3 linked regions of the Macaca mulatta genome follow. The protein of the gene in region 2 purifies or fractionates together with the protein of the main gene of each other region. This does not show direct contact. Links are inferred from orthologs where the notes say so. Each region holds a gene or a part of one and is shown on either strand. Other genes may lie near its edges.

The links.
Region 1: the proteins of NUP160 (region 2) and SEH1L fractionate together in Homo sapiens (co-fractionation; 3 studies listed by BioGRID and IntAct, with this or other methods). This does not show direct contact. The link is inferred for Macaca mulatta from reciprocal best matches to the Homo sapiens genes NUP160 and SEH1L.
Region 3: the proteins of NUP160 (region 2) and NUP133 purify together in Homo sapiens (co-immunoprecipitation; 4 studies listed by BioGRID and IntAct, with this or other methods). This does not show direct contact. The link is inferred for Macaca mulatta from reciprocal best matches to the Homo sapiens genes NUP160 and NUP133.

What each region holds. Positions count from the first base shown.
Region 1 is NC_133423.1:83,641,420-83,652,312, reverse strand, and holds part of SEH1L (nucleoporin SEH1), read right to left. Parts: intron 7,636-10,893; exon of another isoform or gene 7,583-7,635; coding exon of another isoform or gene 7,148-7,582; intron 7,045-7,147; coding exon of another isoform or gene 6,968-7,044; exon of another isoform or gene 6,835-6,967; intron 6,068-6,834; coding exon 5,927-6,067; intron 4,791-5,926; coding exon 4,633-4,790; intron 3,294-4,632; coding exon 3,143-3,293; intron 2,105-3,142; coding exon of another isoform or gene 2,092-2,104; exon of another isoform or gene 491-2,091; coding exon 295-490; 3' UTR 1-294. Other genes in the region: succinate dehydrogenase cytochrome b560 subunit, mitochondrial-like, read left to right, coding at 6,968-7,044, 7,148-7,478. UniProt on the Homo sapiens protein: Component of the Nup107-160 subcomplex of the nuclear pore complex (NPC). The Nup107-160 subcomplex is required for the assembly of a functional NPC.
Region 2 is NC_133419.1:17,798,798-17,809,690, reverse strand, and holds part of NUP160 (nuclear pore complex protein Nup160), read right to left. Parts: intron 9,832-10,893; coding exon 9,721-9,831; intron 9,527-9,720; coding exon 9,403-9,526; intron 7,773-9,402; coding exon 7,671-7,772; intron 5,997-7,670; coding exon 5,855-5,996; intron 4,205-5,854; coding exon 4,079-4,204; intron 1,476-4,078; coding exon 1,371-1,475; intron 216-1,370; coding exon 126-215; 3' UTR 1-125. UniProt on the Homo sapiens protein: Functions as a component of the nuclear pore complex (NPC). Involved in poly(A)+ RNA transport.
Region 3 is NC_133406.1:19,540,829-19,551,721, reverse strand, and holds part of NUP133 (nuclear pore complex protein Nup133), read right to left. Parts: intron 6,883-10,893; coding exon 6,779-6,882; intron 5,649-6,778; coding exon 5,541-5,648; intron 4,611-5,540; coding exon 4,476-4,610; intron 3,029-4,475; coding exon 2,858-3,028; intron 815-2,857; coding exon 659-814; intron 344-658; coding exon 273-343; intron 1-272. UniProt on the Homo sapiens protein: Involved in poly(A)+ RNA transport. Involved in nephrogenesis.

The sequences.
Region 1 (10,893 bases), on a different chromosome or scaffold from region 2:
AAAATTTACAAAACAGGCACTCTGAAGTCAGCTACTGTGTGTAACTTCACAGTTAACGTTACTTGGACATATCTCATTTCATCAAAGGTTATCACCCAGTGAAGCCAACGTTCCTTTGATGGAGACGCACAAACAGATTTAGGTTCGAAACACCGTATTCCAGTTGTAATACATGCAAGACAGACCCGAAGTTAGAAAAATCTTCTGAAAGAAAGTGAAGAAAAACAAAAAGCAGCCAGAAATGAAAGCATTTACAAGCACTTGAATAAGGCCTTTCAATGTTAAATCAGTGTTTTAAACCCCTTCATTCTCAGGTAAGGGATTAAGAGGCCGAGAGAGATATCGTCTGCGAGGGTGAGGATACTGGAGGTTGGCAGTGTCAGCATCGCAAGAGTGCTCTACCAGAGGAGGAGGAGGAGGAGGAAGGAGCTGGGCATAACTGGACCATCTCGATCCAGCCCGTGGGGAATCCAGAGGGGGAAAGAAATACCTGAAACAATGAAGACAGGAACAAAACACCAAACAAAACAAAAACAGGGAAAAAAAAAAAACACAAGAAAAAGAGAAAAGTAGTAAATACAGAGAGAACCAAAGAGGAAAAAACACATGCTAGAAAAAAAAAAAAAAAAGCTTTAGTATATTCATGCCAAAACTAACAGAACATAATAGCACAAATCAAGACCCTTACTCAAATCAAGATTGCTTAAGCAAGTATAGAAACTTGAAAGGAATACAATCTGTTAAACTTAAAATGTCAAAAAAAATCAATATAAATGTTACAAAGAAAAACATTAATTTTATAAATTCAAAACACTTTCTAATCTCTCAGAAACATCTGATGCTATTCTGTACATTTACAAATCTAATAAGCTTTTTCTCTTAAGCAATGGTTCACTCACAACAGCAGCAAGCACACATTTTTTAGTGCATACATGATACTGGGAACACACACAGTATGGCTGGCTACTGCAACATGCGTTTGAACAACTACAAACACTGAACACTTATTTTTCTGCAAAAGCCTTAGGATAGCTACCAAATTTTGAGAAGTGAAAGGACTCACAGAATGACCGTGCCCTACTGTTACTCTTCTTCCATTTTGTAACTTACCCGTAACACTTACACATTTTAGCAAGCTTAAATATTTATAGCTTTGTTATCAAGGTCAGAGCTTTACAGGATATGAACTAATTTAAACAGCCAACTAAATTAAGAAAATCTTGAGACATGGAATGCTGACATTAATTTACATGCACAATTTTAGTAAAATTTTAATGGCTTCTCTTAATAGTGTGTGTCCAAATTTTGATTTGAAGGAAACTAAGCCATGGAATAAATAACACCATAAAAATATACAAATGTATATAAGAAACATTTATCTCTTTAGTGACTATGAATTAAAAACTTATAAAAAAGTGTTTCCATCTTACTTCCAAATTGTAAATGAAACAATACCAAATGCTTAACCTGGCTACAACTGTACAGTCAAGTTCCTTCATTTTACTATTACTACTTTACTAATTCACTCCTTTACTAATATTCTTTAAATACTACAAGGAAATGACAGAGTTGTACTGAATGTCATGTATAAAGCAATTCTACAAAAAGTAAATCACTCAAAACAATCTTTATAAAAAATATTTATTCAATCTTCAAATTAAAATTATAAAAGTTCATTTTAAGCTGTTTTAAGAAAGCAAAAGAAATATGTCTATATTTTCCAAATGAAGTAAAGTGATATTTCCCCTCCTCCCAACTACTTAGATAAGAATGGTAACAACCCTTTTAATCTTTAAACCCAAATTAGTTTCAGGAATATTTCAAAAAATTGTTTTGGTGACAATGTCTCAACAGAAAGCCTCTCCATTTATATTTCAAAAGTTTCAAATAGTGTCAATAAACTGACTAGTACAAAAAAATATACACTGTATTTTTAAAGGCCTTTAGGATTGCGTTTAGTAGTAAGCAGGCTGCTGGTGTATCTTGGGAGAGGTCAAACGGCGCTGGGGAAGGGGAAGAGGAGCTCGCTTTCCATTCCTGTGTGCATGCAACAAGCAGCAAAACAGCAAAGCTACTCCAGTTAGCTTGTACTCAGCTGTGCTTTCTGTTAAAGGACATAATACAAATGGAAAAGGGAAATGCATCACAGATCTAACACAGATGGTTATCGGCACAATAAGAATACAGATCAAAAAACAGAAGCTATTTACAAAAGAAAATACGCAGTACAGGCAGTGACCAAGAACCAGCCTTAAAAAATCAACTCTACTTATTTGTTTCATGAAATAATCTTTATAATCTGGTATCTTCCACGGTAACCTGAAATCGTTCTGATGCACATACTTAAAACCTCGAAATCAAAAGCAGGACTTCTTTATAAAAACATAACGATATAAAAATAGCTGAAATTTTAAATACAATTTTCTTATTTTATTTAGGATAACAACAGGACAGTCCATTAGGCTGTGTTTTGACGTTTCCTGAATTCTATCCCAAATTATTCACAAAGACATATTAAAATAATTTTATCTTACAAATTCACATATTTAAAATTTGAACATGAAAACAAAAGGATGACTCTTTAGATGACATCAAATATTCCTTATTATGATACACAAGAATGTAACATACGCTAACTATTCTAAAAATCAATCTCAGGTTTTATTATTTCCTCTTATTTCCATTAAACTTTAAACACAAAAGCCAAATAATTTAATGTACTCTCTTCTAAAAAGCCTTAATAAATGTATTTTATTTAAAACTGCAGTTTGACCTAATGCAAAGACCACACTACAAGCAGTGAAAAACACTAATGTTCATTTGGACTAAAACCCTCACTATTAAACCAGATAACCTTCCTCTCACTGTTGCAGAAGTGAAGTTGAATCTTAAACCTGTAACATTTCTACCGATAGACCACTAAAGCTTCAGAATATAATGTAATGACCTCATAACCTACCTGCAAATGTTATGACCAAGTAAGCCAAATACAGAGGTAACGAAATGAACTCTTAAATGCTAATATAATCACATGTGAACATTTCCACTCCATCTTATAATCCAGGAAATAATCCACCTTAAGTAGAGCTACCAGAATGATTTAAAACAAAGAGAATTTCCAGTTTTCCCATGAACAGCCTACCTGCCAGCAGAAGATCCATTTAATGAATTCTGAAGACTTGGAATATTTGAACCTAGGGAAGGATTTGAGTTTCCCTGCTGAGAACTCCCATTGACTGGGCTCCCATTACCTTTCAAAATACCAGTACACTTCCAATTGTCCATATAATTAGCTGAAAGGAAAATAATCAAATACATTAACGTGATTAATACCAATGCCTAAGGGCACAAATCCGTACCCATGTCCTTAAACTACAATTAAAGAAATGAGGGAGAGGCTAGGGGCTACATTTCTTTCAGGATAAACATTAAAGACACTTTTTAAATGGAAGACATATTGTCTTAGTTTTAACAAATTTTTAGAAGTTTTCAAAGTATCAATAACTTTAAAAATATAAAGCTTTCACCACCCATGTTACAGATAATAGCAGAGACAATTTTCTGAGCTACCGTATTATCACATTATGAAATTAATATTAAAATCTCCATTATAATATTAAAGTCTTCATTATAATGAATTTCACTTACATATGTAAGGTAATGAAATTGTCTTCTTAATTATGCAAGTATAAGTTGTATGGGTACCTAATGTCTTCTGAAATGGATGGAGATTGAGTGGCTTATCCAAAATGGCCTTATTAGTTTGAATGCAAAATTGGTCTCTGAAGACAATGAGCCCAAGAAAATCAAGTTAGGCAGCCTGCTGGGGAGCATGGCAAGGTGGTCCAGACTAAAGCCCAGAGGCAGAAAAGGACAACAAAGCCCTTGAAATCAAATTACACTGAAGAAAGGAAGGTCTGAGCTGGTTTTGCCAAAGCCCAAAATCGAACATGGGAGGCCCTCAAGCTTACCCAAACTGCACTTTGGGAAACAGTAACTGCTAAAGAGTAAATAAACTAAGACAGCTATAATTTTGAATGCTAAGTATGGGACACCATTCATTATGGTGGTGCACAAATCACAGAAATCTCTGCCCAACAGATAATCATCCAAAAAGCAGTGCAGAACCACGCTACAGAGACCACAGTCAGTGTCAACTGTCCAGACCTTCTCACTCAGCCTGGCACTTATAAAAAGCTTACAATCAGGGCCCCAAGGCTCTTAACGTTTGCACAAAGCAGGGAAGATACTGGATTTTCTCCTATTAAGGACTGATTGTCTAAAGTAATCTATTTGATAAAATAAGAGCGACTATAGTCCTAGCCTGAGTCTGTAGAGCAGTCAAGTAAGGTACATATATGACAACTGGTATCTTTTTACTGGAGATACTGCATATTCTGTAGTAATTACTTTAGTTTTAAAAGTTGCTCTGTTCCATATAACTTGAAAAACAATTCAGTGATTAACTGCTATGAACTAGGTAAACTGATGTTCGAAATAACATAAATTAATATGACATTAAAAGTAACCGTAAAAGACCATTTTTAAAAAATATTTCAGAGTTTACATTTTTAAGTAAAAACTCCAGAGCAGAAATATAAACCAACAATTACCCCTCCACTGAAATCTTACCTTTCCACAATCTTACACAGCCATCATCTCCTGAAGATGCTAGCACTGTTCCTGTTATATTCCAACTCACTCGCCAGACCTGAGAATTATGATTATCAAACTGAGCCACTATATGGATTTCAAACTTTGTTGGCCCACCAGAGGAAGTCAGTTCTTTCCTGTTAATAAAAAACATTTTCTGAGGCATTCTAAGCAAAGTTTTAAAATACACACACACACACATATAAAATTCTAAATTAGTACAAGTGGTCTCACCACCACATCACTTTATAATAATGTACTCATCTGCATAAACCCCACCCTTGGCCCTTGAGCTGGGCCAATGTCATTTCCATTTAACTCGCCAAGGCCTGGAGTGATCCCAGCACATAAACGATATTCAGTGACTGTTTCATGGAAGAAAGAAACAACAAAACAGGATGATTTTATTCTCCCACACAAGGCCGAGGAATAAAACAGATGACAATAATTAATTTTAAAAGGCAGGGCAAGGCCAAGTGCAGTGGCTCACACCTGTAATCCCAGCACTTTGGGAGGCCAAGATGGACAGATCACTTGAGGACAGGAGTTCAAGATCAGCCTGGCCAACATGGCGAAACCCCGTCCCTACTAAAAATACAAAATAAAAAATTAGCCAGGCGTGGTGGCGGGCACCTGTAGTCCCAGCTACTCAGGAGGCTGAGGCATAAGAATTGCTTGAACCTGGCAGGTAGAGGTTGCACTGAGCCAAGATCATGTCACTGCCCTCCAGCCTGGGCAATGAAGCGAGATCTTGCCTCAAAAAAAAAAAAAAAAAAAAAAAAGGGCAGGGCAGCAAGTAGGAAAGAATGAAAGAACAGAAAGAAAAGAACTGGAATTCACAATTCAAAATTAAAGTTAAATATGTTATTCACAAGACTGTATCAATACTAATTTAGTTTTCCCTAAATAGACTGCCACTTGTCATTAAATATTTATAGAATATCAGTTATATTGGGAGAATTGTTAGTATTAGCCTAAATAAAGCACAATTAAGAGAATATAAATCTACTCTTTACTCAATTCCTCTTTCCAAAAAGACATATATTTATATATAAAATGTTCATTCAATAATCCATTCTTCAAAAATGACATTAATTTAAAAGTAATTGTAAAAGACCATTTTTTAAAAATATTTCAGAGTTTACATTTTTAAGTAAAACTTCCAGAGCAGAAATATAAACCAAATCATAGTTACCTCTACTCTCTCCTCCACAAACAAAGGTAATCAGGAGGCAAGAGTATTTTCAAATTCATAAATGCTTCGAAAACTCACCTCACAGGTTTTAATGTAAAAATTCTCACATCTTTGGTTGCTATTGCTAGAATATGGAAAGATCTTCCCAAGTTTGGAGCGAATGCAATATCATGAACGGGATCAGTGACTGTCATAAGAGTTTCAGCTTTTGCATATTTCCTAATGGAAAAACAAACAATTTAAACATTTTAGAAATAAAATGTACAAAGATGCACACATCACTGCATCGCACCTTTTTCATACTGCTCACAGTCATGTAGCGCTCACCTCTGTAGTGGGCTCAACAGTGGTCCTGACCCCCAGAACCTGTGAACGTAACCTTATTCAAAAAAGGTCTTTGAAAACGTAATTAAGGACCTCAGAATGACATCCTAGATTTAGGGTGGGTCCTAAATCCAATGTGCAGTAAGTATCCTTAAAAAAGAAGAGGAGAGACGTAGAGACACAGAGGAGGCGGCCATGTGAACACAGAGGCAGAGATTGGAGTCTTGCTGCCACAAGGCAAAGAACTGGAGCCAGCAGGAGCTGGACTAGACCAGGAAGGATTCCAGAGGAAGCACAGCCCCGCCGACACCTCGATTTCAGACTTCCGGCCTCCAGAACTGAGGGAATACATTCTGTGTTAAGACACCTGATTTGTGGTAATTTGTTATGGTAGCCCTAGGAAATTAATACAACCTCCCATGTTTCCTCCTCTGATAATGTACACTGAGCTTGAAATGGTTTAATAAAAATTTAACTAGAATAAGGTCTTGGCTGGCCACAGTGGCTCACACCTGTAATCCCAGCATTTTGGGAGGCTGAAGTGGAAGAAATGCTTCAACCCAGTAGTTCAAGACCAGCCTGGGCAACACAGCAAGACCCCACCTCTACACAAAACACAAAAATAGCTGGGCGTGGTGGTGCACACCCGTAGTCCCAGCTGCTTAGGAGGCTGAGGTGGGAGGATGGCTTGAGCCCAGGAGGCAGAGATTGCAGTGAGCTGAGATTACACCACTGCACTCCAGCCTGGGCAACAGAGTGAGGCTCTGTTGCAAAAAAAAAAAAAAGAAACCCGAGATGGCTGCACTCTTGCTGAGACGTGTTGGTTGTCATTACCTCCAAGCCCACTTTGGCCCTCAGCTCTGTATCAGAAATGCTGTTCCCGTGGGAACCACGGCAAAAGAAGAGATAAGAGCGGTTCTGGAATAATAATATAGGTTCACACCGTCCTGTGTCTCCCCACATCACTATCTACAGCTGGTCTCTTCCCGTGGTGATGTCCATCTGCTGCCGCGGCACTGGTATTGCTTTCAGTGCAGGAGTCTCTCTTTTTGGCACGCCGGCCCTGTTACTCCCCGGGAACTTTGAGTCTTATTTGGAACTCGTGAAGTCCCTGTGTCTGGGGCCAGCACTGATCCACACAGCTAAGTCTGCACTCGTCTTCCCTCTCACGTATCACACCTGGAATGGGATCCGACACTTGATGTGGGACCTAGGAAAAGGCCTCAAGATTCCCCACGTATACCAGTCTGGAGTGGCTGTCCTGGTTCTTACTGTGTTGTCCTCTATGGGGCTGGCAGCCATGTGAAGAACGGAGGTTCCCAGCATCATCTTCCTACACGTTACATTCACCCATCTTTCTGTTTGTCATTCCTATCTCCAGCCTGGGAAAAGTTCTCCTTATTTGTTTAGATCCTTTTGTACTTTCAGATCCCCGCGGAGCAGTAGACTACCTTGTAGATTATAATCGTGGAAAAGGGTCTAGTTTTCCCCTTGTTTCTAAAAATGGGGTGGCTGCAAAAACTCCCCTTTTTTGCCCACAGCTTGCCTACTCTCGGCCTAGCAGCAGTTATTCTCTCTCCATACTGGGCTTTGATTTGTGCTGAGGGTCAGCTCTTGGCTCCTTCTTCTGAAACAGTGGAAACAATGCCAGCTCTGTGGCTTCTGCCCTGGGGATGGGGGATGAGGCTTTGGGTGCCACTGCCTGTGGGCTGCTGGCTTAAAGGACAATTCTGGTCTTTGCTGAGAGCCCAGGCCATTAACACCTACGCAGTGTTAATGAAAGAAGAGAAGTGGTGGGAGGGGAATTAGTCTGTCCCAGCTAGAGGGAGATAAAGAGGGCTACTTAGTTCTTGGAGCAGCTGCTTGTGAGGAGAAAATATATAGCTTTTGACACAAGAAGAAAATCCAGAAAATTATCACTGAACATATTGTTATTTCTTTTTCTTGGATTTCCAGAACAGCTTCTTAATTTTATACTTTCTCATCAAAGTCATGTACCATTTTTTGAAACTGAATTAAAATACTCATTTAAAAAAAAAAAGGAATAAGGTCTTGATTTATTAGCCACTGACACCTTTCTTAGGAAAAGAGTAATGCATTGCCTAAGTATTTCAGTGTAAATAAAAAAGTAAAGCTGGTAACAGGAATTGAGGTTTTTTAGGTTTTCCGTTTTTTTTGAGACAGAGTTTCGCTCTTGTGCTGGAGTGCAATGGTGCGATCTCGGCTCACTGAAACCTCCGCCTCCTGGGTTCAAGTGATTCTCCTGCCTCAGCCACCTGAGTAGCTGGGATTACATGTGTGCACCACTACGCCCGGCTAATTTTGTATTTTTAGTAGAGACGGGGTTTCACCATGTTGATCAGGCTGGTCTCGAACTCCTGACCTCAGGTGATCCACCTGCCTCTGCCTCCCAAAGTGCTGGGATTACAGGCGTGAGCCACTGCGCCCAGCAGGAATTGAGTTAGGTGATAACAAAAGGAAACTATGCAAAGGCTATTTCATCTTTGCAATTCTATTTCTTTACGTAGAAACACAGAATAAGAGATAATGAAGGCAGTGGTAGATCAGAGTTTTCTACTAGGTTCTTCTAAGATTGAATATCCCGGACAGAACCGCAGCACGAAACCCTGAGTGCAGGAGACTGGGTGGAGAGATCTCCCCATCCCACCTTTCCACTACCTTCTTCTAAAATAGTGGCGCTTCCAGCGTTTTGTGCTTGACCTTCTTCTCACCCCAACATTCTTCCTAAAATATCTACCAAGCTGGTACACACCTCAAGGTTCTCTCCTTGACCTTTCTCACCCATCCAATCACCCTAAGCAATCTCATCCACATCCTTCTTCTACTGTGTGGTCTGCAGTCGCCTGGAAACTTCTGGGACATCCAGAATCTCAGCCCCTTCCCGGGGCCTACACAAGCAGAACATGCATTTTTTTTTTCTTTTTTGAGACAGAGTCTCACTCTGTCGCCCAGGCTGGAGTGCAGTGGCCGGATCTCAGCTCACTGCAAGCTCCACCTCCCAGGTCCACGCTATTCTCCTGCCTCAGCCTCTCAAGTAGCTGGGACTACAGGCGCCCGCAACCACACCCGGCTAATTTTTTTTTTTTTTTGTATTTTTTAGTAGAGACAGGGTTTTACCATGTTAGCCAGGTTTCAATCTCCTGACCTCATGATCCACCTGCCTCGGCCTCCCAAAGTGCTGGGATTACAGGCGTGAGCCACTGCGGCCGGCCAGAATACGCATTTTAATAAGATCCCCAGATGATTCACACAGACACTGAAGTTTCTACACTCATGGTTTCAGTACCTATAAACCAGTAATTCCTAAATCTATCCCCTGCAATTCAGGACCTTCTACCAAAGGCCAGAAACAGGACAGAGGGAGCTAAGAGCACACATGTTGCAGCCAAAACGTATTTGAATCCAGGCTGTAACTTGACCTTCAGCAAGAAGTTCTCCATAAAGTGGGAGTAACACCAGTACTGTGGCAGAGAGATTCTAAGAGCTCCCATGACCCGCACCTCCTGGTGGTCACGCCCTTGTAAAGGCTCCTCTCCATGAGTGTGAGTGCGGCCCATGGTTTGTTCTCTACCCAGGGGAAGGAACATGGCAAGGTGGTGGGACAACACTTGTGTGACTGCAAGGCACAAGCCTGTGACGCCTGCCTTATGAGAAGACTCTCCCGCTTTCTGGCCTTGCAGAAGCAGCTGCCACGCTGTGAGGACACAGGGAGGGTCTTGTGGCAGGAATACAAGTGCTGCCAACAACCAGGTGAGCGCCGAAGTGGACTCTTTTCCAGTCTGGCCTGACTCTCGACCCACAGACACTGAAATACCGAATCTACTGTTTCAGCCACTGGGTGATAATGCCGTCGTGCAGCAACAGACAACTAATCTCAGCTATTCTACCCATCCGCCTTTACACATTCCAACCTGGATGTTCCAAAAGCACCTCAAACGTATGTCTGAAATAAACTGTGCTGACCACATTCACTCCCCATCTCAACGAGTGGTACCACCATCGGCCAGGTCAGAAACCAAGACTCACGTGACCTACAGCTGGTGCCTCCTAGACAAGTCTCCCTGGTCCCTCTTCATCCCACGGACAGTGCACGTCCACATTCCACACCACCGTGGGCTACTGCGTTCATCCCTGCGTCCCTGCTCCCCCCTGAGTCCCTGATCCTCCCTGAGTCCCTGCTCCCCCGAGTCCCTGCTCCGAGTCCCTGCTTCCCCCCGAGTCCCTGCTCCCCCGAGTCCCTGCTCCCCCGAGTCCCTGCTCCGAGTCCCTGCTCGCCCCCGAGTCCCTGCTCCCCACCGAGTCCCTGCTCCCCTCTGAGTCCCTGCTCCCCACCGAGTCCCTGCTCCCCACCGAGTCCCTGCTCCCCACCGAGTCCCTGCTCCACCGAGTCCCTGCTCCCCCGAGTCCCTGCTCCCCCGAGTCCCTGCTCCCCTCTGAGTCCCTGCTCCCCCGAGTCCCTGCTCCCCACCGAGTCCCTGCTCCCCACCGAGTCCCTGCTCCCCCGAGTCCCTGCTCCCCCCCGAGTCCCTGCTCCCCCCGAGTCCCTGCTCCCCCCCGAGTCCCTGCTCCCCACCAAGTCCCTGCTCACCCGAGTCCCTGCTCCCCCCTGAGTCCCTGCTCCCCCCTGAGTCCCTGCTCCCCGTCCACACGGCTGCCAAAGTCAACTCCCTAAAAGGTAAATACAACCTGGTAACTCTACT
Region 2 (10,893 bases):
CAGACTTGAATGTTGTACACATCATTTAGAGTTACAAAAATTGGCCTTGAGTACAGGGTTCCTGTAGGGTAGTCTTAAGCCCTAAGAGGCACCAAGCGGTTACAAAGGCTAGGTAACAATCCAGATCACAAGGTCCGACGATATAATAAATCCCGTGTTGCCTTATCAACTTTTTGCTGGTAGTCCTCCAATTTGTCAAGTATCTTCTGGGACAGCTATAAGAGAAAAGAAGGAAAACATTACAGAATAGCTCAACAATGGAAAAAGATTGAAGTTATTAATCACTTTGACTTCAACAAGCAGATTCCACCTTATAAAGATGTTAGCCACTCTGCTTCATAAAATCACCATTTGGTATAGGATTCTCCTCTGTGACCCTACTGATAAAACTAGGCCTCTCTGTTACATACAACATTTCAATCTCATTTTCTGAATGAATTTTCTAAGTATGGAAATTATACCAGTATTTCTAATAAAAGGATCACTAGCTCTTTTCTTAGAACCAGAGGTGCTGTATCTGATGTAACTAGTTATTAGCTGCCAAGTGAAATAGAGAACTAATATTTTAGATAGGATCAGGAGGCACTCTATCTCACTGGTAAACAAAATAAGCCATCACTATAATGACTCTGAGCAAAGGAAACACTATTGTTTTTTATGTTAAGGCAAGCAGAGCAAATATATGACTCCTGAGAAATGTTGTTATATATGCCAACTTCCCTCAGGACAGTGATAATTTATCACACTGTATTTCTTTCTTTTTTGGGGGGTCGGGGAAATGGAGTCTCACTCTGCCGTCCAGGCTGGAGTGCAGTGGTGCAATCTCGGCTCACTGGAACATCCGCCTCCCAGGTTCAAGCGATTCTCCTGCCTCAGCCTCTCGAGTAGCTGGGATTACAGGCTCCCGCCACCATGTCCGGCTAATTTTTGTATATTTAGTAGAAACGGGGTTCCACCATGTTGGCAAAGCTGGTCTCGAACTCCTGACCTCTCAGGTGATCTGCCTGTCTCAGCCTCCCAAAGTGCTGGGATTATAGGTGTGAGCCACCGTGTCCGGCCTATCACACTGTATTTCAAGTACCTGTTTACCCTGTAGGGTCTGCCCTACCAAACTAAACCCTTGAAAGGATAGACCGACTGCTTGCCATTTGTCTCTGTATAATTAACACTTACACAGTTCCTCATTACGTTTTCTCGACCCTATTGCTTAGATCCTTTGCCTTATCTATAAAGGGATTGGGCAGTTTGCTAAGGGACAAAACTAGGCTTTTGCCCTCCCTTTCTAATCCCAGAGAATTGAAGATCAAGCTGGAAGGTGTAACTGCTGTGCAGGGGCTTACAGAAGACATCTCATGAAAGGGCTGACTTACTGCGATGTTGTGACTGTTGGCACTGTTCTCCCCCAGAGCCTGGAGAAGCTGATCAATAGAGGAGTATGGAAGCCACACCATTGGGGCTGTTGCGGACAGTGGAAACTAAAAGGAAAATGTTTACTTGAAAACAGTCTGCAAAGTGTACCATTTCTTCTGGGTAGTTGCTTTCATAGGACTCTGTAGAATAAAATGCCCTTTTTTTTTTTTTTTTGAGACGGTCTCGCTCTGTCGCTCAGGCTGAGTGCAGTGGCACGATCTCAGCTCACTGCAACATCCGCCTCCTGGGCTCAAGCGATTCTTGTGCCTCAGCCTCCCCCGAGTAGCTGGACTACAGATGTGCACCAGCATGCCTAATTTTTTTATTTTTATTTTTAGTAGAGATGGGGTTTCACCATGTTGGCCAGGCTGGTCTCGAACTCCTGGCCTCAAGTGATCCACCTGCCTTGGCCTCCCAAAGTGAGCCACTGCGCCTGGCCAAATAAAATGCTTTTTTTTTCCCCACAAGAAACTGTGTGTATACATGTGCACGCACACAATGGGAACCCTCTTTTCTCCAATTGGGAAACTTGTCATTTTTTTGGTTAAATTAAATGTATTTAAAAATTCTTGTCAGCTGGGCCTGTAATCCCAGCGTTTTGGGAGGCCAAGGTGGGCGGATCACAAGGTCAGGAGTTCGAGACCAGCCTAGCCAATATGGTGAAACCCCATCCCTACTAAAAATACAAAAATTAGCTGGGTGTGATGGCAGGCACTTGTAGTCCCAGCTACTCGGGAGGCTGAGGCTGAAGAATTGCTTGAACCCGGTAGATGGAGGTTGCAGTGAGCCGAGATCGTGCCACTGCACTCAAGCCTGGGTGACAGAGCGAGACTCCATCTTGGAAAAAACATAAAAATTAAAAAAAATAATAATAATTTCATGTCAACTTTCTCTTTTTTTGAGACAGGGTCTCACTCTGTCACTCAGGCTGGAGTGTAGTGGCATGATCACAGCTCACTGTACCCTCAACCTCCAGGGCTTATGTGATCTTCCCACCTCAGCTTCCCACATAGCTGGGACTACAGGCATGCACCACCGTGACCAGCTAATTTTTTTCTATTTTTTGTAGATATCGGTTCTATGTTGCCAAGGCTGGTCTTGAACCCCTAGGTTTAAATGATCCTCCCACCTTGACCTCCCAAAGTGCTAGGATTACAGGTGTGAGCTGTTGCACCTGGCTGATTTCATGAGGGTTGAAGCTGTAGTTAACTACACCTATTTAGACCTGGCTCTTCTATTATATTTACCATCTGTGTGAGCCTGTGATAACTTAACCTCTAAGCCTGTTCCCTCATGGGTTAAAAAATATAAAATTAAAACATCCCTCATAAGGCTGCTATAAGGATTAAATAAGAAAATGCTTGTAGAGACTTAACACAGTCCCGGCATACACACAATACCATTTTGTTTACCTCTCTCCACTGAATCCTAATGCCATATTATTTTGATAAAGATGAAATTCCTATTTTATAAACAGGAGACTAGAGACTCCTAGAGTGTCAATATTTAGTTGTATAACTACAGACAGTAATGGTTAAATACACTAATATATAATTCAATTTACTCTCAGATTCTCACCTTACATAGCATGGTAATAAAAGGAAATGCCTAGGCCGGGCGTGGTGGCTCCTGTGGGTAATTCCAGCACTTTGGGAGCCCGAGGGGGATAGATAACTTCCGGTTAGGAGTTCCGAGACAAGCCTGGCCAACATGGTGAAACCCTGTCTCTACTAAAAATATTAAAAAGTTAGCTGGATGTGGTGGCAGGTGCCTGTAATCTCAGCTACTCAGGAGGCTAAGGCAGGAGAATCACTTGAACCCAGGAGGCGGAGGCTGCAGTGAGCTAGTAAGCGGAGGTTGCACCACTGCACTCCAGCTTGGGGGCTGGGCAAGACTCGGCTAAAAAAAAATATATATATATATCTATATCTATGTCTATCTATCTATCTATATATATCTATATATACAACTATACAGATGTTCCTCAACTTATGATGGGTTTGTTTTCCAATAAACCCATTATCAGTTGAAAATATCATAGGTTGAAAATGCATATAATACACCTAACCTAATGAACATCACAGCTTAGCCTATAGCCTACTTAACCATGCTCAGCATGCTTAACATTGACCTATAAAGTTGGGCAAAATCATCTAACAGAAAGCCTACTTTATAATACACTGTTGAATATCTTGTGTAACTTATTGAATACTGTACTGCAAGTGAAAAACTAAACAGTTGTATGAGTATTTTGTTTATTTATTTATTTATTTTTGAGACAGTCTCGCTCTGTTGCCCAGGCTGGAGTGCAGTGGTGTGATCTCTGCTCACTGCAACCTCTGCCTCCCAGGTTTAAGTGATTCTCCTGCCTCGGCCTCCTGAGTAGCTGGGATTACAAGTGTACACCACCGCGTCTGGCTAATTTTTGTATTTTTAGTAGAGACGGGGCTTCACCATGTTGGCCAGGCTGGTTTCGAACTCCTGACCTCAGGCATCTGTCCGCCTCGGCCTCCCAAAGTGCTGGGATTATAGGCGTGAGTCACTGTGCCCAGCCATGAGTATTTTAAAGTATGGTTTCTCATAAACGTTCATCACTTTCAAACCATTGTAAAGTTGAAAAATCATAAGTCAAACCATTGTAAATTGGGGACCATTTGTATATGCCTACCTCAATTCCGAAGTATTGATGTCCTTTACCCAATACAGCATCCACATATTCTGACACCAAATCCACAGCTTCTTCTAAAAGGTCATAGTTTAAGTATAAACGAAGTAATTCAGCAGCGTCAACCTTCTGTGAAAAGTCGGTGATTAAGAATTTTTAGTACTGACCAAAGAACGCTGAGTGGCTGATTCCCTAACATTTGTATTTCTCAACATAATTAAACCAGTGGCTTGGTTTACTCATCTATATCTTAGGATAAGAGCTGATAACAAATCTGGGGAGTTAGGAAAAAAAAAAAGTTGAATTCCTAAGAGCCGTTACTTTTAGGCAGTTTGGGAGGCCCTATCTGTTAAATAGCCTTCTTCCCCTGTTTTATGACCTAAGACATACTTTAACTTCTTTCCACTTCAGCTTCCACAGTTGTAAAGTCAATAAACTTTTCCTGAATACTAAAGTGACAATATATTCACATAATAAGAAATATATGAATGACAAACGCAAAATAAGTTCAAAGAATCACCAACTTTAAATCTGAAGTCTCTATTTGGAAGAGCTCTATTAATTAAGTATGCTTTCTATATTCCGATTTGATCACAATCTTACCTTTACCATCTTAGCTGCCTTCCCTATTTTCTTATTTATTTATTTATTTATTTATTTCGAGACAGAGTCTGTCGCCCAGGCTGGAGGACAGTGGTGCAACCTCAGATCACTGTAACCTCCACCTCTGGAGTAGCTGAGATTACAGGCACGCACCATCACACCCAGCTAATTTTTGTATTTTTAGTGGAGATGGGGTTTCACCATGTTGGCCAGGCTGGTCTCGAACTCCTGACCTCAGGTGATCTGCCTGCCTTGGCCTCCCAAAGTGCTGGGTTTACAGGTGTGAATCACCGCGCCCGGCCTCCTTTCTACCTTAAAAAAAAAAAACTTTCCTGATTTTAACCTTTAGATTTTCTCTTTCCTTATCCTACTCAAGGTGGTTCAGATGCAGAAGTTCCCAAACTTTAGCATGCATCAAAATCAAATTAGGAGCTTCTTAAAACATAGATTTCTGGCTCCTAGCCTGAGATAATCTGATTATATAAATCTAGGATGAGGAATCTGTACTTTGAAGAAGCCTGCCATTTGAATAATTCTGATGCAGACAGTCTAAGAACCTGTGTTTGATTTTTAATAGTCAGGTGAAACAGTGGGAGTGGAGAAGGAACCAATTGGAAACTGGTTGTGCTCAATTAGTTGTGAACACCACTGCACTCAGACCAGCCATACTGTTACATTATTTGAAAAGTACTCCACCCATTCCTGTGGGTTTTTTGAGGTATGAATAGTAAATCCTGTGTCATGCATATGCTCATTGTTCTAAATATAAACTCACTGTTCAGTGAATATAATAGTAGTCATTAACCTAATTACTAACCTATGAAACTTCAAATCTAAATACACAGTAGTACTGTGGAAATGAACCTGAATTGTTCTTATGGTTTTAGCTATGATGAAAAGCTTCTCAAAGTACATAAGTCAATATGTTCCCATAAGTTATCACCCCATCTTTTTCTTTTTCTTTATATATTTTTAAATTTAAATAGAGATGGGGTTTCCCTATGTTGCCTGAGCTGGTCTCAAACTCCTGGGCTCAAGCCACCCTCCCCTGTTGGCCTCCCAATACGTGGGCATGACAGGTATGAGCCATGGCAGTCATATTTTTAATCATCTCATGAAATTATCCAGAATGACAAAGAGTGGGTTCTTACTCTGTACAAGTTATAATCCACTTACCTTGTAACTGTTTATAAGCCAATTAGGTAGAGGCACTCCATGAGACAAGAGCTTGTTGATTACACAGTGGTGATACAAGTTATTCTGGACTTTGTACCTTTCCAGGTAAGTTGATAATAGTCGCCATGCTTCATCTGTAGCACTTGAAAAAACCAAAAATGACTAATGAGTTTCAGATTCTTAATAGCTATTTTGAGTACCATTCAAAGCATGTATTTACTAGGAAAACTTTGTTTTGAGACAGGGTCTTGCTCTGTCACCCAGGCTGGAGTGCAGGGGTGTGATCTCAGCTCACTGCAGCCTCTGCCCCAGATTCTCCCATTTTAGCTTCCTAAATAGATGGGAATACAGGCATGCACCACTATGCCTGGCTAATCTTGTTTATGTTTTGTAGAGACAAGGACTTGCTATGTTGTCCACGCTGATATTAAACTCCTGAGCTAAAGTGATCTGTAAGTGTTGGGATTACAGGCAGGAGTCACCATGCCCAGCCTTACAAGGAAAGCTTTAGACATTCACGACTGAATAATATAGCTAAATGGGAACAAATATTATTCGGGCTAATGTGACTTAGGCGATAGTACTAGAAACTAAATGTCTTGGGTTCATATATTCCTCTCCCACTAACGTATTTAGTATGTAGTAAACAAAAGTATTTAGTAAACAAATGTATTTGTTTGGCTATTAATACATAATTCATTTAACTCCTTTGTTTCTGCATTTATGAAACAAGAAAGTGGTTCAGAACACTGGTTCGCAAACCTGATCAAGCATTAGAATCATGCAGAAGTTCTAACTTAGAAGACTAGGGTGATTTCTCATAATACGTATTTTAATCAGTTATTCTGATGTGCTAATTTAGGGGTTGAAAACTAATGTCAGAGAACTTCCAAATTCTAAAATGCTATCACTCTAAAGTGCTAAGCTGTATAATACCAAGTGCAAATGCAGTTCAGAAAGGGAAGCTTACTGAGGGTTAGGGATGTTAGAGAAGGTTTCTGAAGAAGCTGAAGTACATTTACGTGGACACTAAGTGGGTGCACTGGGGAAGTATACGAACAGAGGAGATCTGAAGAAGGTATGGTGGATGATGGGGGCTGATGGGTGACAGACTGCTGAACAGCAGCTGGAGACAAGCTATAAGAAGACACTGTGGGCCGGGTGCGGTGGCTCACGCCTGTAATCCCAGCGCTTTGGGAGGCCGAGGCGGGCGGATCACAAGGTCAGGAGATCGAGACCACGGTGAAACTCCGTCTCTACTAAAAATACAAAAAATTAGCCGGGCGCGGTTGTGGGCGCCTGTAGTCCCAGCTACTCGGGAGGCTGAGGCAGAAGAATGGCGTGAATCCGGGAGGCGGAGCTTGCAGTGAGCCGAGATCGCGCCACTGCACTCCAGCCTGGGCGACAGAGCGAGACTCCGTCTCAAAAAAAAAAAAAAAAAAAAAAAAAGAAGACACTGTGACGACACCATGCAGTGACTGCTCAATGGAAGTAATGGGAGAAAAAAGGAGGATAATACTCTGAAACCAAGTAAATACAGATTTTTGCGTGTAAGATTACCCTTTCCTGATATGATACAATAAGTCTTTGAGGAGGGGGTTATGGAGGAGACATTTCATAGGCAAAGACATCCTAGTTTGGACAATAAATGACATGATGTCACCTTAATTATAAACTTTACAGCCCCTACAAAAACTTAGCCAAAAAGAAAGAAAAAAGTGAAATGATCTATGTAGGACAATTTAATCAGAGAAAGACAGTTACAGCTTTGAGAAAGGCAGAACCACCCAGAGTTGGATGAACACCAGGGCTGTACCTCGACTCCTTAGTAGTGATGACAGATGAGAGCTGATTGGCTGCTAGCCAGGCCCAGGCTTCTGCTTGTGCTGCCTCTCCTCCAAATTGCAATTTTATGCATCTGAAATGAAAATAGTTCCACACTTGAAAACTGAACGCTGAAACGTACCACTTTAATTTGATACTAAAACTAGAGAGATAAGATGAAAACTTCATCTCTAGTATTTTGCTGAATTCACTACTGGAATATTGAATCATCTCTTCCTCAAGTCACACTACTGGATACCTACAAGGACATCAGTAAGCATTAAGAGACAATTTACTTCCAAGATAAAATTAATGATGAAAAATTCTTTTCTTTTTTTTTTTGAGATGGAGTCTCACTCTGTCACCCAGGCTGGAGTGCAGTGGCGCAATCTCGGCTTACTGCAACCTCTGCCTCCCAGGTTCAAGTGATTCTCCTACCTCAGCCTTCCGAATAGTTGAGACTATAGGCGCATGCCACCATGCCTGGCTAATTTTTTGTATATTTAGTAGAGACGGGGTTGCACCATGTTAGCCAAGATGCTCTTGATCTCCTGACCTCGTGATCTGCCCGCCTTGGCTTCCCAAAGTGCTGGGATAACAGGCATGAGCCACCGCACCTAGCCTCTTTTTTTTTTTTTTTTAATTAAGATGGAGTCTCACTCTGTTGCCCAGGCTGGAGTGAAGTGGTGCAATCTCAACTCACTGTATCCTCCGTCTCCCAGACTCAAGCGATTCTCCTGCCTCAGCCTCCCAAGTAACTGGGATTACAGGCACGCACCACCTCTCCTGGTTAATTTTTGTATTTTTAGTAGAGATGGAGTTTCGTCATGTTGGCCAGGCAGGTCTCGAACTCCTGACCTCAAGTGATCTGCCCACCTTGGCCTCCCAACGTGCTGACGTTACAGGTGTACACCACTGCACCCAGCTGAAAAATTCTGAAAGTTCAAAATATTTCTAATTCACAAACTTTTTTTTTTTTTTTTTTTGAAACAGAGTCTCGCTTTGTTGCCCAGGCTCGAGTGCAGAGACGCGATCTCAGCTCACTGCAACCTCCGCCTCCCAAGTTCAAGCAATTCTTGTGCCTCAGCCTCTTGAGAGGCTGAAATTACTGTTGTGTGCCACCACACCTGGCTAATTTTTGTATTTTTAGTACAGACAGGGTTTTACCATGTTGGCCAGGCTGGTCTCAAGTGATCCACCCACCTCAGCCTCACAAAGTATTAGGATTACTGATGTGAGCCACAGTGCCTGGCCAAGAAATTCTTCTTTTTTTTTTTTTTTCCTGAGATGCAGTCTCGCTCTGTCACCCAGACTGGAGAGCAATGGCGTGATCTTGGCTTACTACAACCTCCGCCTCCCATGTTCAAGCGATTCTCCTGCCTCAGCCTCCCAAGTAGCTGGGATCACAGGCGCCCACCACTGCGCCCTGCTAATTTTTTGTATTTTTAGTAGGTACGGGGTTTCGCCATGTTGGCCAGGCTGGTCTCAAACTCCTGACCTCAGGTGATCTGCCTGCCTCTGCCTCCCAGTGCTGGGATTACAGGCATGGGCCACGGCGCCCGGCTGAAATTCTTTTTAAGAATGCTTGGATGGATTAAACAAAACACTTCTTCAAACCACAAATGGTATACAGGCTACTTGGCTTATGACGACTGCTTCACACTAAGCAAGAGGATAATATATTTGCATTAGAAAAGACTATAAAAAGATAATTTTATACATACTTGAAGGCAAGTCCTTCAAAGACTGGTGTTAAGGGAAGCTTAAAAGTCTGACAGAGTGATATGGCAGTGTCAAAGAGGCCCGCCTGAACCAAGAGAGTGACCATCTCCTCTGCTGATGAACTTCCTGTGAAAATGGAAAAAGATTATTTTGTGTAGCCAAGGCAGACACAAATGAAACCAAAGATTTTGCTTTGTTGATGAGTATCTCTGAGTAACAACCCATGCTTTATATCCATCTAGCATGCTACATACACTGCCTTGACCTAAAATGTGCTCTTAGTGCTGACAAGTCAGAGGCTTTAACTCTTGAATTCCTACCGGCAACTGCAACCGCTGATGGATCATGCTGAGCCAAAGTGAGGCGGATACGAGCCAAGGAACACTCTTTCTCCAGATCTTCCAGTTCCAGGATTTCAATTTGTCGATTTGCTATACATCAAAGAAAAATATTTTGAACTCCCAAAATACAAAGAAGTATCCACTAGATTAACTCAGCCTGTCAATTTCCACTGAACATTAAATAACATTCAATCTAATTTCCAAATGCATGAAGGAAGGAGAAAACAGGGAACTAAATAAACGCTAACTTAAACAAATTATGCAATATCCCATGTCAAATCAAAGTATTTTAACAAATGCAGCTGAGAAGGTGCTTACAAGGTACTACATGTAATTTCATTTAACTCTTTAAACTTTTTTTTTTTTTTTTTAAGAAAACAAATCTCTCTCTGTCACCCAGGCCGGAGTGCAGTGGCATGATCTTGGCTCACTGCAACCTCTACCTCTTGGGTTCATGTGATTCTCCTGCCTCAGCCTTCCAAGTAGCTGGGATTACAGGCGGGCACCACCATGCCCAGCTAAGTTTTGTATTTTTAGTAGACATGGAGTTTCACCATGTTGGCCAGGCTGTTTTTAAACTCCTGACCTCAGGTGATCCAGCCACCTCAGCCTCCCAATGTGCTGGGATTACAGGCATGAGCCACTATGCCTGGCCTAAAAAAAACATTTTTCTTTTCTTTTTTTTTTTTTAAGATGGAGTCTCGCTTTGTTGCCAGGCTGGAGTGCAGTGGCACGATCTTGGCTCACTGTAATCTCCACTTCCCGGGTTCAAGCAATTCCCCTGCCTCAGCCTCCTGAGTAGATGGGACGACAGGTGTGCACCAACAAGTCTGGCTAATTTTTTGTATTTTAGTAGAGACAGGGTTTCACCATGTTGGCCAGGATGGTCTCGATCTCCTGACCTTGTGATCCATCTGCCTTGGCCTCCCAAAGTGCTGGGATTACAGATGTGAGCCACCATGCCTGGCCAAAAGAATTTTCTTCTACAGGGTCTTGCTATAGTTGCCCAGGCTGGTATTAAACTCCTGAGCTCAAACAATCTTCCTACCTTGGCCTCCCAAAATGCTGGGATTACAAGGCGTGAGCCACTGCACCTGGCCTCATTTAACCATTATAATTGTGAAATACTGTCTGTCATCTCTATCAGTAAGA
Region 3 (10,893 bases), on a different chromosome or scaffold from region 2:
TATCTCTACGAAAAATTTTAAAAATCAGACAGGTGCGACGGCACACGCCTGCAGTATAAGCTACTGGGAGGCTGAGGCAGAAGGATCACTTCAGCCCAGCAAGTCATGGCTGCAGTGAGCTATCATGGCGCCACTGTATTCCAGCCTAGGTTACAGAGTGAGACCCTGTCTCCAAAAAAAGAGCAGTGAGATTGCTCATCATTTTATAATAAACATCAACTTATTTTTTCCAAACTCTTATCTATGTTCTTTATGACAAATTAATTGCTTACCAGTTTTGTTTCAAGTCCAAATATCGAATGTTGACTCCTTCTTTAATAGCTTCATAGTTACTTTCAGATCCCTACATGAAAATATCAGTAATGTAAGCTTGAGTGTAGGAATGATTTATTTTCACCTTTATACCCCTAGCACCTAGTGAAGTGCTTCACCCATAACTCAGTTGATGAATGAATAATGTATACATTTAAAAAAATTGCTAAGTAAACCAGTACATTCCAATATTTACAGAGATTGACTACCCCATTTCCACTTAATCTGATAACTGTACATTATGTTGTTTATTACACTGAAATGTGTTGAAATAAATAATTAACGGAACCAGCATTATCATACAACCAGAGCGTGAATTACAGAGATGAATATTATTGTTTCTTACCCAAATAGCATCGGTAATGTTTTCCTTCAGGGCTCTATTTATATCCCAACTGTATGCATGTTTTTCTGAAGAATCATCTAATTCCCATTTACTGATGTTTGAACTTGTCAAGCTATAAAAGCTTGATCTCTCACTATCCCAAAGAACACTTGAAAGCTATTCAGAAAAGAAAAAGAAGTCAAATTCATAGATTAAGTTCTAATGTTAAGGAAATATTGTTTTAAAACTCAAATTTCACATATGTGATTAGTAATCCTAGCAGAATTCTTCCTTTGGGATTTAAAGAAAGGAGTAATCCTGGGCCAGGTGTGCTGTCTTACCCCGGCAATCCTAGTACTTTGAGAGGCTGAGGCAGGTGGATTGCCTGAGCTCAGGAGTTCAAGACCACCCTGGGCAACATGGTGAAACCTCATCTCCACTAAAATACAAAAAAGTAGCCGGGTGTGGTGGCACACGCCTATAGTCCCAGCTACTTGGGAGACTGAGGCAGGAGAATCACTTGAATCCAGGAGGCAGAGGTTGCAGAGGTGCCGAGATCGCACCATTGTACTTCAGCCTGCTGACAGAGTGAGACACCATCTCAACAACAACAGCAGAAGTGATCCTGAAATAGAGTTTGAGGGCAACGTTGGACTCTAGAGGAAGAAGGATACAGGCGGAAGGCCCAGGAGGAGCAGAGCTGAAAGGTGGGAAAGTTACAGCGTCTTTAGAGAATAAGAAGTCATCCTCTAACATCGGAATGTAGATGACAAGTCAAAAAGAAGCAAAAATAAGGATTTTTTGAAAAATGAGGCCAGGTGTGGTGGCTCATGCTTATAATTCCAACAGTTTGGGATACCAAGGAGGGAGGCTCACTTGAGCTCAGGAGCTTGAGACCAGCCTGGGCAACATAGTGAGACCATGTCTCTATTTTTAAAAATAAATAAAAATAAAAAATAATGAAAAATCAGGGACATACAGCAGAGAGTGTTGAATGTGAATTTGTAAGTGTAGCAAGCCAGGGAGATATTATCAATAGCTTCTGAACACAGAATTGTGTTCGAATGCATTTGGCAGAATGTATGTAGTCATACACAAGAGTATTATTTTGCCTTTTCAGTATATGCTTAATCATGAAGTATAGGTATTTGGCTTTTTAAAGCTGGATATACATGATTGCTTTGTGTTAAAACCCATCAGTGATGGGGCAGAAAGGTCAACAGCAAGCAAACTGAGCAGGTACCAGGAACTTAGGTGAAATTTATCAAGAATATAGGTTAGGGCATAACATCAAAAGCAGAAAGATGGGGATGGAAACCAGACTAGACAGAAGTTAAATCTACAGCACCTGGTAAATAACTAGTTTGCTATAGAAGGAGAGCGAGACACAAAAAATAACAAGGTTTTATACCTGGGTCACTGAGAAAAAGTGATGGTGCTCTTAACAAAAACAGAGCAAAAGAGAAATGAGTTTTATAGGGGTGAGCAGTCAATAGGAGAGATGAAAGAATACAATAAATTTGTTTTTAAACATGTTAAGTTTAGGTTTAAAGAACATTCAAGGAAGCAGGTGATGATAATTATCTGAAACAAGAGGGAAACAGCACAGTAAAAAGAGCAGGCCTGGGTATGATTCCCAGCTCTGCCACTCAGCAGTTACACACCTTCCCGCTGAGGGTGCTTCCTCATCTGTAAACTGGAGGGAAAGTGCACTATCTTACAGGTTGTCACAATGATTACACAATATGAATATAACAACTACAGAGCACCGAGCAGTGAGTAGATGGTCCATAAATATTAGTTCCCATCATCCTCCCTTCACTATACTAGAGTATGGGGCAGAGAAATCCAACCAACAGATCTAGATTTCAGTCATCCACACAGACAGCTGGAGGCATGGCAGTAGAGACACGCTTCCGGTTAAATCTAAAAAGTCAAATTAATCTTTAAGAAACACATTTTAAATTTTACATAATAGTTTTAGTTCCAAAAATGTTCTTGTGAGATAATCTGATTTAAAGATATTAGTGTTACAAGTTATGGGAGAAGGTTAGTATGAACTCATTTCATCATAATAAAAATAGTTCACTAAAAAGATCAAAGGTTCTATTTTGCATAAACTATTGTCCATATGGAGGCAACACTAACTTCAGAGCATACTTTCAACTTACTGATTTAACTAAGAAATAAGCTTGTAAAATAGTTATTTTATAAACTTACTGTGAGATCACTACTAGGAGATAAAATTCCAAAAAGAGAGGAAACCTTTCGACCAATTCCTGAAAGCACGCCTTGCCCCTGAGGCAGGACATGCTGATGAATCTTTCCTGAGCTCTCAGGTATCAACCGAATTAGTTGGCTTCCCGACGAGGACAAAATAAAACTTCCTCCCTGTGAAAAAATAGGAGATTAGTTCAGTTTAGCATCTAATGCTGAGATAAAGAAAGCTAACAAAAAATTCTTTGATACAGAGAAAAATCATTGTAATTGAAATAAATCTAAAAGAATACAAAATAGAATGTTGTTATTTTATTAAAGTAATACATTTCAGAATCCATTCAGTTGATATCATTAATCCTACATAGAAAAACTCTCTAAGAAAAAAGAAAAACTGGCCGGGCATGGTGGCTCACACCTGTTATCCCAGCACTTTGGGAGCCCAAGGTGGGTGGATCACTCGAGGTCAGGAGATTGAGACCATCCTGGCCAACAGGGTGAAACCCCGTCTCTGTTAAAAATACAAAAATTAGCTGGGTATGGCGGCACGCACCTGTAATCCCAGCCACTTGGGAGGCTGAGGCACAAGAATTGCTTGAACCCACGAGGCAGAGGTTGCAGTGAGCTGAGATTGCACACCGTTGCACTCCAGTCTGGGTGACAGAGTAAAACTGTGTCTTGAAAAAAGAAAAAAAAAAAAAGAAAAAAAACACAAAACTTCTGTAGCAGAAAAAAAGTCCATGTTTTTTAAATTCTGATTTTTAAACTACAAGCTCATATTTCAGATTCAACAAATTAGGTTATCAGATTTTATTTTTATTTATATTTTTTGTCTGCTATTTTATCAGAGACAGGGTCTCGCTCTGTCACCCAGGCTGAAGTGCATTGGTGAGATCATAGTTCACTGCAGCCTCAATCTCCTGGGCTCAAGAGATCCTCTTGCCTCAGCCTCCTGAGCAGCTGGGACTACAGGCACACATCACCACGTCCAGATAATTTTCAAATTTTTTTGTAGAGACAAAGTTTCGCTATGTGGCACAGGCTAGTCTTGAACTCCTGGCCTCAAACAATCCTTCCACTTCAGCTACCCAAAGTGGTGAGATTACAGGCATGAGCCACCATGCTCAGCCAGATTTTGTTTCTTTGTGAACCTACAAAGAAGATAATGCAAACTATTCTTTATAGTGTCTGATGGTGGCTTAAAAACAAGCCACTCTCATAAAATGTTTCTAAAAGAAATGCATATCACAAACTACTATCTGAAATTGGTATTTTAGAGCCCTGTGAGAAGAGCCTCCCTCGTCTAACTGTTCAGATCATAGATCCTTACATTCTTCTCTTCCTTGTCTCTTTTTGATTCCTCCCTGGTCTCTACAGTCTCTTCAAAACTCCACATTTTCAGTCATCAAATCTCATTTCTACAGCTGGGTGCAGTGGCTCATGCTTGTAATCCCAGTATTTTGGGAGGCCAAAGCAGGAGTTATTGCTTGAGCCCAGGAGTTTGAGAATTGCCTGGGCAACATAAGGAGATCTGGTCTCTATTTTAAAAAATAAATAAAAATCTCATTTCCAAGCCAAATCACAGCTTTCCAATAAATATAAAGGAATATCCATGGTATACCTGCACTGCTGTTAGGAAACTGTAAGTCTTATCACCTCCTGAATCAACAAAAGTCTCTGTGTAGGTATCTTCACTAGCAAGGCTTGACCAATAGCGGATGGATCCTTCTCTGGTGGCAACCATGACAGCAACAGCCTCAAAACAAGATCATAACAATCGGCAATCACGATACAAGAACCCCAAAACCAGGAGTCTGATGACACTGATATGAAAAAACAGGACAATCTACTATTTGATCAAGAAAAATCAGAAATAAGAACTCACTGGGGTTTTGGTTTGCATTTCTCTAATGGCTAATAATGCTGAACATCTCTTTATGTGCTTATTTACCATCCTTATATCCTCACAAAGTGTCCGTTCAAGTCCTAGTCCCTATTTTTAAACTGCATTGTCTTATCAAGTTTTTAGAATTTTAAAAAATATTCGGGATACAAGTCCTTTACTGGATACATGATTTACAAATGTCTTCTTCCACTCTGTAGCTTGTCTCCTCATTTTCTTGTCTTTGGCAAAGCAACGCTTTAAATTTTTATTTTACTTTAATTTTAATATTAATTTTATCAAACTTTTCTTTTATGGATCATGCTTTTGGTGATTTCCAAGAACTCTGTCTAATCTCAGGTCATCATGATTTTTTCCTGTTTTCTTCTAAAAGTTTTACTGTTTTACATTTAGATCTATGACCCATTTCAAATTAATCTTTATAACAAGGTATGAGGTTTAAGGGAAAATTCAATACAATACAAATTGGTCATCTGTAATTTTAAAATTACAAATGTTCCTACACTATGCATTGATACAGAGAAAAGTCATCGTAAAAGACCATCCTTTCTGAATTGCTTCTGCACCTTCATCAAAGATCAAATTGGCGCCTTTATGTGGATCTGTAACTGTATTCTCTATTCTGTTACATTGCCCTATGTGTGTGGCTCTCTTTGCCAATACCGCAATGTCTTGATTTCTATAGCTTTATAGTTATGTCTCAAAATCAAATAGGATGATTCCTTCAACTTTGGATGTCCTTACTGTAAAAAGTTTATTTCAATAAGCTTTTAAGTCACCTACCTGAGTAGAATGTGCTTCACCTGAGGGAGCAGAGTAAGAAAGAGCCACTAAGTCGGCACTCCAGTGGAAATCACTAGATGGCAGCTGAAGTTCTTTGCAAACTGATAACTGTAGAACAAACCCAAACAGAAAATCTTTCACATCAAATCCAGTATTTTGAAGATGCATCTGATTTCCCTTCCCTACATACTTTAGATTCTGACTCATTGCTGGAAACACCATTCTACAAATATTCTTTCTTCTCACATCTCCTTTTAATCAGGCTTTCAGTAATTTTAAAACAAAGTATCTTAAGAGATATTGAATCATGAAAACTTAAAGCTAGACCAAACTCTGAAGAACAACTATCCTAACCTCTTCCCCGGCTAGAAAAGTCCACTCAAGAGAAGGCTAAATAAGGTTAAGAGAAGTACTTAGGCTTCCTATGGAACTTTCCCAATCTACTATTGATTTGTTTATTTGACATTTAAAATTAGCACAAACAAACAGTAATTATACCAAGTTACCTAGGAAATATTTCTTAGACTCTCAGCCAAATATCAGGATCCCTCAGCTAACTCAGTATGTCCCCTAGGACTTCTCCCTCACCTATTACTCCTAACCCCATATACCCTTTTCTAGACAGCAGTAACACAGTTCAGCAGAAGTGAAGAGTTGAGGTAAGCAGGAGCCCTGAGTTCCAATGGAACGTGGCCAAGTGAGTAATGAGTGGTGGAAGAGAGTAGTGCATCTAAGCTGTAACGAACAGAAAAAGGTCGCTGAGGATAAGTTACTAGACATGCAAATGATAACCCACTGTTGGAAGTGGACAAGTGAAAAGTTTAACTAGCAATTAGTATCATATTTTCTTATTTTATTAAGTATTATTCAGTAGGTTCAACAAAACATAGTTCTATCTTCTCGGAAATATGCAAACTCAAAGTTCATTTGCTTATATAGGTGGCATTTAGTCTGATACTTTATTAGGCAGACGGATTAGCACAATATTCATTGAAAATTTCAATGTCTCTAATTTTATTAAATGTAAACATAGATCTTTAAAAGGGGGAAACTTTTTTCCCAATATACAAATGTGTATGCATGCTCATTATTTCACATCACTATGAAAATGCAAACCCTTAACACCTAAGTAGTTTCATATTAACTATCCTCCAACTGTAAAAAAATTACGGTAAAAATTAAAAGTCAATTGGCATTCCTCTCCTCTATCTCCTTCCAGCTCTCTGAAGAGCCATTACCTTAGTAATAGGTGACAGAGCAATCTTCCAAATAATGAGCTTCTCTTTGCACACCAGACAAGCCCATCCACCTTCATCTATGTTAACAGTCAGCTGATCATCGACTAAAGGAAAAAATGAGGTGAGTGACTAATCATATAGTATAAATCTTTATCACCACACACTTTATCAAAAAAAAAAGTAATTGGCACACTCAGAAAGGACTAATTCACAACAAATACTTTTGAATATTCCAAAATTATCAACACCAAAAACAACAAATCTATTTAACTCTGATAACCAGCTTTAGAAATATATCTAATGCCTGTAATCCCAGCACTTTGGGAGGTCAGGGTGGATGGATCACAAGGTCAGGAGATCGAGACCATCCTGGCTAATATGGTGAAACTCCATCTCTACTAAAACTACAAAAAATTAGCTGGGTGTGGTGGCACATGCCTGTAGTCCCAGCTACTCAGGAGGCTGAGGCAGGAGAATCGCTTGAATCTGGGAGGCAGAGGTTCCAGTGAGCCAAGATCGCACCACTGCACTCCAGCCTGGGCAACAGAGTCAGACTCCATCTCAAAAAAAAAGAAATATATCTAAAGGCAACAGTTGTATTTGGGACATTTAATATTCCTTAATTTTTTGTTACAAACAGACCAGATACCTTATTTCCTGTAAGTCATATTTAGGCCAGGCATGGTGGCTCAAGCTTATAAATCCCAATACTTTGGGAGGCCAACGTGGGAGGACTGCTTGAGGCCAGCCTGGGCAACAAAGTGAGACCCTATCTCTTTAAAAAAAAAAAAAAACAAAAAGAAAACAAAAAAAAACCCAGCCAGGTTTGGTGGTGCACTTCCCAGCTACTAGAGTGACCGAGGCACAGGAGGACCACTTGAGCCCAGGAGACTGAAGCTGCAGTAAACCATGATCACATCACTCCCACCTGGTCAAGAGAGCAAGACTCCACATCAAAAAATAAATAAACGGAAACAAAAACAAAAAAAGACTGGGCGAGGTGGCTCACGCCTGTAATCCCAGCACTTTGGGAGGCCAAGGTGGGCAGATCATGAGGTCAGGAGTTTGAGACCAGCCTGGCCAACATGATGAAAACCTGTCTCTACCAAAAACAGAAAAAAAAAAGTAGCCGGGTGTGGTGGCGTGCACCTGTAATCCCAGCTACTCTAGAGGCTGAGGTAGGAGAATGGTTTGAACCTGGGAGGCAGAGGATGCAATGAGCCAAGATCGCACCACTGCACTCCAGCCTGGGCAATAGAGCGAGGCTCTATCTCAAAACAAACAAACAAACAAAAAAGAAATATTTAGCAACATTTATATCGATAAATAATAAACTCATTAACTATATAAAACATTTCAAGGAAAATAATGTTCCTTCAAACACACATAATTTTCAAATAAGAGCTCCTTAAAGAAATGATAAATTATTTATTATATGGAGACAAAGAGTTTCATTCTCTATTAAGTGACAAAACTAAATTAGCATACGTCTTAGTATTGGTGGTAAACCTCCACAAACGTGTTAACAGCCCTGGAAATTTTATTAAGTCGAACTTTGCTCTTTAAAGAAAGGTAGAAGGGCGAAGTAAAAGGCACAATGTACAAGCGAAAATATCAAACCAAGCCCAGGCTGAGTGAGGACTTTTTGCTCAACTGAACTATCTGCTCAGTAATTTCCTTTTTCTTGAAAGCACTACAACGACTCCAGATCTTCAACTGGTGTGCCCTTAAGGGCTGACTTAACAGTAGTTGGCAGGTTTCTAAGTGCGGAAGAGTTCTTCAAGTTGACATATCTCTTTGTTTTATATATTCGGACTCCTAGGGACTCTGAATTTCTAGATATGGGGCTGTGTTATTTAATCTAGTCTGTTAAAATAGCAGGAGTACATTAAAAGGTTTAAATGTAATTTAAAATGAAATTTTTAGAGGAGAAAAATATACATATATATATACACAATATGTATATTTATTTAAAACAGAACAATGTATATAGAGGTTGGTAGTTTAGTTGTCTGAAAACAACTATCCCTAAAGCTCCCAAGGACCTATAGGCAAGATGTGCAAGTTCCAGCTGATGAGATATATTCCTTCTTCTAAAACAGAGTACTTTCAGCTTTTTTTTTTTTACTGTCAACAGTAATATATACAGTAAATAGAGTTATTCACAGTGTAATACATTTTACATCATGATACACCCATATACAATTTAAGTAAAACAAACAAAAATTTACTAAACATTATATGAGATGCATTCTATTTCTTCTTTTTTTAAATGCTGGTCAAGAACCGCTAAATTTTGGTCACTCCTACAATTTGAAAAACACTGTTCCAGAAAAATCACAAAGATCTAGAATTCAATCCTCAATAAAAATGACTTCAGCAGATATTAAGGATGCTCTGAACTTTGCTCTTTCAGTGTCATCCAACTGTTCATCTTTAAAGTTGCCTAAGCTTGTGTTGATTGTATCTGTCAAAATTCCACACTAATTCTCTGCCAACAGACTCTTCTAAAGGTACACCACCACAATGGTAACATCATAAATTTGTGCACACAGCCTCTGGGATGCTACATAGGATCCAGAAATAGAGGTAGGACTTGATTTTACTATATTATTAAACCCAATAACATAAAGTGCCAGTTTTGGGGTTTTTTTTTTAACGGTAAACTTCATAAACTTGATCAACTCTTCAAACAAGACTGAATTTTGCATATACAGTATTTCCCCCTTTTATCTGCAGTTTCAAATACCTGTGGTCAATTGCAGTCTGAAAATATTAAATGGAAAATTCAAATGAACAATTCCTAAGTTGTAAATTGCATGTTGTTCTGGGGAAAGTGATAAAAATCTCATGCTGTCCTGTCTAAAGGTTGTGAATCAACCCTTCGTGCAGCATTTCCATACTGTATACACCAAGCTTGTCCAACCCACGGCCCAGGGACACGTGTGGCCCAGGACAGCTTTGAATGCAGTCCAACACAAGTTTGTAAACTTTTTAAAACATTATGAGATTTACACACAGATCCATTTATTTATTTATTTATAGCTCATCAGCTCTTGTTAGGGTAAGTGTATTTTATGTGTGGCCCAGGGAAGCCAAAAGATTGGACACCCCTGAGACTATCCAGCTGTTTGTCACTTAGTAGCTGTCTCAGTTACCAGATCAACTGTTGCAGTAATGCAATGCTCGTATTCTTATTTAATGACCCCAAAATACAAGAGTAGTGCTGGTATATTGTTATAATTGTTCCACTTTATTAGTTATTGCTATTCATCTCTTAACTGTGCCTAATTTATAAACTAAACTTTATCATAGGAGTGTACGCATGAAAAAACACAGTATATATAGGGTTTGGTACTATACAAGGTTTCAGGCATCCACTGGGGAATCTTGGAAAATATCCCTCAAAGATAATGGAGGACTAGTGTACAGTACCTAAAACCATTAGACTTAATTTGATTGTGTTCAAATGAACTCATTCTCCTTCTCAAATTTATTATATATCTCAATTATAGTAAAAAACTAGGGCTGGGCACCGTGGCTTATGCCTGTAATCCCAGCACTTTGGGGGGCTGAGGCGGGCAGACCACGAGGTCAGGAGATCAAGATCATCCTAACACACTGAAACCCAGCCTCTACTAAAAATACAAAATATTAGTCAGGCAAGGTGGCGGGCACCTGTAGTCCCAATGACTCGGAAGGCTGAGGCAGGAGAATGGCGTGAACCCAGGAGGACGAGCTTGCAGTGAGCCGAGATCACGCCACTGCACTCCAGCCTGGGCAACAGAGCGAGACTCCGTCTCAAAAAAAAAAAAAAAGTAAAATAAAATAAAAAACTAGACAGGTGGCTGGGTGTGGTGGCTCATGCCTGTAATCCCAGCACTCTGGGAGGCCACAGTGGGCAGATTATCGGAGGTCAGGAGCTCCAGAACAGCCTGGTCAACATGGTGAAACCCCGTCTCTACTAAAAATAGAAAAAATTAGCCCGGCATGGTGGCTCACACCTATAATCCCAGCCACTTGGGAGGCTGAGGCAGGAAACTCGCTTGAACCTGGGAGGCGGTGGTTGCAGTGAGCTGAGATCGTGCCACTGGACTCTAGCCTGGGTGACAGAG